Linked DNA regions of Saccharomyces cerevisiae S288C. The gene in region 2 interacts genetically with the main gene of each other region. Each region holds a gene or a part of one and is shown on either strand. Other genes may lie near its edges.

What was found. A genetic interaction does not mean that the proteins touch.
Region 1: mutations in YPR015C (region 2) and TAO3 together harm fitness more than expected from each alone (negative genetic interaction), as found in Saccharomyces cerevisiae (one large-scale study listed by BioGRID).

What each region holds. Positions count from the first base shown.
Region 1 is NC_001141.2:111,368-115,128, forward strand, and holds the start of TAO3 (Tao3p), read right to left. Parts: upstream 1,871-3,761; coding exon 1-1,870. Other genes in the region: MET18 (Met18p), read left to right, coding at 2,439-3,761. UniProt on the Saccharomyces cerevisiae protein: Seems to play a role in cell morphogenesis.
Region 2 is NC_001148.4:589,622-592,871, forward strand, and holds YPR015C (uncharacterized protein), read right to left. Parts: upstream 1,406-3,250; coding exon 662-1,405; downstream 1-661. Other genes in the region: TIF6 (translation initiation factor 6), read right to left, coding at 2,711-3,250.

The DNA.
Region 1 (3,761 bases), on a different chromosome or scaffold from region 2:
CTTTTTTCCTTGTGTTTAGATATAGTTGTAAAAGCTTGGTAAGCGTCCTTGTAGTATTATTTAAAGTTTCTGGGCATCTATATAAATAGACCCAAACTAATCTGGATAAACCAACTGCAAAGATAATCCTTTCATTCAGACTTTTGGACTTAACTTTTGAGGCATTTGCCTCCAACAACGATAGCCATTGTTTAGAAAATAGGTCTGGTGGTGATGCACACAAAATAGAAACTGTTAATTTGAAACCACTTACCCAATACTTACTATCAGCTTGTAGCCTCTTGGCAGTGTTCAGTAAAGTAGACATTGCCTCTACCCACGTTGGATGATTAACTTCTGCCGTCAACGAGCCAGCCAAAGGCAACAATAGCTGGTTAGTGACTTCAGCATACGCCAAACAAACCGGAAAATTTTCAGTCTTTGCGAAGAACTTTGATAAACTTTTCATGAAATCTGCACTTTCTTCAAATTTCTCCAACGGATAATTTCTTAACTTCAAATATCTCATACCAAGAATCAACAAATGAGTACTTGGCTCTAACTCGGGAGGTATATACGCCGGGATTTTTTCTAGATCAGCTATAAATCGATCACTAACTGACAAAAATTTCTTTTCAGACATAGAGCCCAGTAGTTCGGCAAAAGAATTCCAATTCGAAGACTTAATTAAACTAGTTGATATAGAAAGTGGATCAGTAGTTTTTAACTGAGTAAAAACAATCTCTTCTAGCTTATCAGATAAATCTTCTTCTTCATTGCTGGAAGCCTGCTTAACAATTTCATTTAGCACCCTGCATAGGATGTATATACTAATCAGAGATTTCCTATCTGCAAGGAATGCTTCTTCTTTTGCTACTTCAATTGTGTTCTCTAAACTTTTCAATTGTGAGTTCGCTATGGATGGACTTGAAGTAGCGCTATTGTTACTGCTACTAGCTTTGATTAACGGAACTTTGTTGTTGAAAGATGAGGAAACGTGCCTTTTCATGCCAGGAAGATTATTGGTATTGTTATTATGTTTGTACTTTGAGGTTGTATTACTGGAAGATCTTGATAGCCGCCTATTCATTAAAAAATGAGCCTGCGAGGGATGTGCCTTTTCAAACTCATACTCTTTTAATAGTTTTTCCATTTCTTCTGAAGCAGAGTTGGCCGCTTCAGATTTAGTCTTCCTCCAAAACATCATTGCATCAATCACAGGTTTCGGTTTTTTCTTTGCAATGTGACCTAGAGATTTAATAATTTCATCAAAGCTGGGATCAACGCCTTCACCAAGAATTTCTACAATTGGGGGTTCCGCCATGTCCAACTGCTGTAGACACATATTTAGTTTGTTCTCCGCGTAACGAATAAACTTTGTAAAAAGTATATGAAGAGCATATTCAGAGGGACTTTTCCAATCTGTAGCCATTTGCTGTCTCAAAGTAGTCACGTAGTCCTCTGCTACTGATTTTGCTGTAATGTCCGGCGGTGCTGATTCTTGCATTCTTTGCTGCTTTTGTTCAGGTAGTAGCATTGAAATCTTGTTTTGATCACTTTGCTCCTCAACAAAGGTAGGCGGAAGAGCTTGACCTTCCCCCGTTCCTTGTTGCTGTTGTTGCCGTAAAAGTAATTGATTATTTAGAGAGGTGCCTTCAGACATATCAGTAGGAGATGGAATATCAATAATAGGTGCATCCGTAACGGATTGGTGAAGAGGAAATGTGTTAAGTGGCGCTTCGTTTATTTCCTCCAAGACATCCTGGCCTGAAGGATCAATATCTATTGATATCTGGTTATTGTTGCTAGAACCTTCTGCTTTATTTGTCGGTGGGAAGGTGAAACCAATGCCTTGATCCCTCTGGGGCGGGAAAGTAAATCTCGAGGCCATTTTGATGTATAACAAAACTAAAAAGGGTTATTAAAATGGGAACACAACAAACAACCAGAATTTTCACACTTTAACCAGTCACGTCCTATTATGAAGACCTAAATCCACATTTGCTTTCTCTCTTCATTTGCCTAATCCTTTATCCCAATTTCTACAGTTCTATATGTATTTTCCTGTGTGGCTGTCGTTTCGTGGTTAGTGATACAACCATAACGATTCAACCAACTCCCAATGTATGTGATGTTGATACCGCTAATTTGGAAGGGATGGTATACTCTAGGTGACCTCAATGAGTCAAAGAGAGCTAGGACATACTTCGAGATAGGTAATACCACTTTGCAGCTTCTTTTTAGGCCTTCATGAGTGAGTAGCCAAGAAAAAGTTAAAAGCGGGTAATAGGTATGAATTTTTCAAATACTGAAATTTGGTTTAGTTATTTAAGTGAATTGTAGATTATGTACATTTTACGTGCAATGAAGGAGTCACCTCTATGATCATCTAGTTATTAGCTGTTAGTTTTCATTGAACTTGTTTTAACTGGGAAAAAGCGGAACAATTGGGCCTTACAATGACACCAGACGAACTAAATTCAGCAGTCGTCACCTTTATGGCCAATCTGAATATTGATGATTCGAAGGCCAACGAAACCGCTTCCACAGTAACGGATTCTATTGTACACCGATCAATAAAATTGCTGGAAGTTGTCGTTGCGTTGAAAGATTATTTTCTTTCAGAAAATGAGGTAGAAAGGAAGAAAGCGTTGACATGTTTAACCACTATCTTAGCAAAAACTCCCAAGGACCACCTCTCCAAAAACGAATGCTCAGTAATATTTCAGTTTTACCAGTCTAAGCTTGATGATCAAGCGCTTGCAAAAGAAGTCTTGGAGGGCTTCGCCGCATTAGCTCCAATGAAATATGTCTCCATTAACGAGATAGCCCAACTTTTGAGATTATTATTGGACAACTATCAACAAGGCCAGCATTTGGCATCAACTAGACTGTGGCCATTTAAAATTTTGAGAAAAATATTTGATAGATTTTTCGTCAATGGATCCTCGACCGAACAAGTCAAACGAATCAACGATTTGTTTATTGAAACATTTCTTCATGTTGCCAATGGTGAAAAAGACCCTAGAAATTTACTCTTGTCATTTGCACTTAATAAATCTATCACATCGTCCTTGCAAAACGTGGAGAATTTTAAAGAAGACTTATTTGATGTCTTATTTTGCTATTTCCCAATCACTTTCAAGCCACCAAAGCATGATCCTTACAAGATCTCCAACCAAGATTTAAAAACAGCTTTGCGATCAGCAATTACTGCGACGCCATTATTTGCCGAAGATGCTTATAGCAATTTGCTGGACAAACTCACTGCTTCTTCACCGGTAGTGAAAAATGATACACTTCTGACGCTATTAGAATGCGTTAGAAAATTCGGCGGCTCTTCTATATTGGAAAATTGGACGTTACTTTGGAACGCTTTGAAATTTGAAATTATGCAAAACAGCGAAGGAAATGAAAACACTCTACTAAATCCGTACAATAAAGACCAACAGAGTGATGATGTGGGCCAATATACTAACTACGATGCTTGCTTGAAAATTATTAATCTAATGGCATTGCAACTATACAATTTTGACAAAGTATCATTTGAAAAGTTCTTCACTCATGTATTAGATGAGTTGAAACCAAATTTTAAATATGAAAAGGATTTGAAGCAAACCTGCCAGATTTTGTCCGCTATAGGTAGTGGGAATGTCGAGATATTTAACAAGGTCATTTCGTCAACTTTCCCCTTATTTTTGATCAATACATCTGAAGTTGCCAAACTTAAGCTGCTGATTATGAATTTTTCTTTTTTTGTTGACTCGTACATTGATTTGTTT
Region 2 (3,250 bases):
GAAACGATATGTATGAATCAGAATATCAAGCATGGATATATCATTGCGCTCAAACTTAGTCAAATTCCTTTGTTTTCTTAGTTTGTTATGACTCCCTTGACGTAATTATTCTTGCATTAATTTTGAGCTTCTGTAAACTTCATTGTTCCAATGGATCATTATATATTAACAACGTTGGCATATACGTGACCGCAATTTGAACTACCTACATTTAACATACTTTTGTAGAGGAAAGAGGCTGTTTGTTCTTTAACCATGATTATACCAATTTAACCTTTTTTTTTTTTTTGATAGTGAACTGCATACTAGTCAGGTAATTGAATTCCTGGTACAGAGATTCATCAAGACATCCGTGTCGGCAACGTTGTACTAAATGAAAAGGTCCTTTGTCTTACGAACTAGACAGAATAAAATGTATCGTGCGGCAGTATAGAACCGTATTACAAATGCTGATGCATTCGCAAACAAATTTCTTGTAGAAATTATAATTCGAACAAAAATCCTCTCACTATTCAAAAATCGGAAGTCAGTAAAAATTGATTGTTGGCTACATGTAATATATTATATGGAACTAATACATATCTATACTCATTTTACTTGGTAAAAAGTGTCACACCTACATCAAAATCACACTGAAAACAAAATATTCTAAACAATGCTTTCACTGATGTTTTTTCTTTGCTATTTTCTTTTGATGGGTTCTTAAATGCCTTAACATGTTACTCTTGACATTGAAAGATTTGTTGCAATGCTCCCAAGTACATTTGAAAGGTGTGTCTCCCGTATGTATTAAGTAATGAGTCCTCAGTGTTGAAGGTCTCGAACAAACCTTCCCACAGATAGGACATTGTTTCCGTAGCTTTACCACAGCGCGCAGTTGCTTTTGTATAAGATCTAAGTCGGTTTGTGTTTGGGATAATAGCGTCCCAGGATTTTGCCCTATATGCACATTCGGGAGGGAGTACTGCTCGTTGCTCACCGCTCTGTGGTTTTCCTCCTGAAAATGCTGCATTGATGGAGGTACAGATTGGGCAGTATAAGAGGAAGCTGCCGTTGAATAAATAGGGCAACAAGATTGACGTTCAACGAACGTTAAAGGGAAAGGTTGCGGTGTTGCTATAACCGGCGAAAAGATAATAGAGTTGGGACTTGATCTCCATACGGGATCCTCTGTCTGATGCAGAGAAGAAGGTGCGTAATGGTAAGCGGGAGGTGGTAGTGCGGCCTGGTTTATTTCAGGAGTAAGTGGAGCGTGCATAATCGACGAACAAGGTGGAAGATGCACTTCCCTTTTGGTCGTGTTCGAGACTTCCTTTGAAGATTGCGCATAGGATCCCCCTATGTTAGACGATGAACATTTCATTGGGCTACAAAGCATAGATTCTAGCGTTTTTGTTCTCCACATTTAATTAGTGTTGAAGATGAAAATTTATGTATATTAAAAGTTAGAAACGGGTCAATGAAGACGTTTGCTTATCGTATTGGATCCTTGCAATGCCCTCCAAAAAGAAGAAAAAAGTTGGACCAAGAAAACAATTATAATTTTGTAATTTGAAATATCTACCAATGAGGTCAAAAGAGCGACAACAACTAGCGCTTATATAATATAAAGAATTCTTGGGACTGTATCTCATGGCAACCAAATGCCGTTCATATTTAGGGTTTCAGTGGGAAAAGATTTCCGGTGCTTTACGCTCCTTGTACAAACAAGTGCTGCGAAACTTTCTGTGGAAATCGTGCCTTTTAAACCATTAGTGAAGGCTCCAGATAGAGTTGTCACAGAAAACAGCGTGGCGGACTTATTTTTTTGCAACGATTTTCTGGAAACAATAGAGGAAGAATTTTTGGCGTACGAAAAGGAACGATGCCCCCAACACCTCAACAATACTACGGAAGTTTCTTCGAGCGGAAAAACATCGAAATACTAGCTGTTTCTGGATATGAGAGTGGGTATGCGTGGCAATGGAACTCAGGGAGTTGTTGCTATTTCAGTGAGTACGATGGATCAGGGTGTTTATATCTCAAGAACTACCAAGTTGAAGAGATGAAACGTAGTTCGCTTGATAGCACATAAATGGACGGCTGACTTGTTGTACACCATATATATATATATATATATATAATTTTACGGCTCACTTCTGTACCGCTTGTGAAAATCTTACCGCACAACCCCCGGTGTTCTATTAGCTTTGTTCGATTTTATTAATCTTTGCCAAGAGATACTACTCTCCGGGTTCTGGTGGAGACAATAGTATGTCCTAGCAGCTAGACAAAAAAGCCTTCAAATGGTCTACGTGCGGTGCAATTTTTCTTGGAGAAGTTCTATATTGTCTAACAGATACTTGGAACTGAGCAAGTTGTCAGAATAGTCGGAGAAGCGGACGGAAAATCCATATTATGCAAAGAATTTGCTTAGAAACCCGTTACATATGCTTCGAACAAAGTGACTACATGTTACAATTAAGACGCCTACTTAAACTGCAATGAATAGTCACCCATAGGTATAAGAAAAAAAAAAAAAATAAAAGAGTACATAATATACATACAACTAAAATTAAAATGCATAGAAACCTAAGAAAAAATATTTGTTATACCAAAAAAAATACCACAAATGATACGTAAGAAGATTATTGCAACATGGGGACTCTTTCGCATACAACTGTAAACAGACTTGAGGAAGGAGGGGAATCCCCTCAGGAGTACCTGACATCTATGAGTAGGTTTCAATCAAAGTATCACGTAGGTTACCTGAAATGGATTCTGGTTGGGCATCTTGCAAGCGGAAAATACTTTCAATAACACTCAATTCTGGGGCTGTAGTATCCAGACCTGTAACTGCCAAGTAATCGTTCACAACCATACCGGCACCGACAACTGAACTACCACGGTTAACGGTACCAGCCACCAAAGGAACTTGTAATAAGGAGGACAATTCTTCTTGATCTTGGACACTTGTTTGTGGATGCACTAACCCACCTTGATTACTTAAAGAACAATATGACCCAACTAAGATATTACCTGATATGGTTTGACGGAAGACCTCAACGCCTAGTACATCACTTATCAATTCTTCAGTTTCTCTGTCGATATCTGGATGCACTAAAGCAACGTAATCATTACAACAGATGACGTTACCCAAGGCAGATAGTCTTTCCTCTACCCTTTGAATCTTAACGGAATCCGGCAAACTATTTCTTAAATGTTGTAATTCTTGATCAGTAGTTTGGGTTGGAACTAGCAGACCTCTACG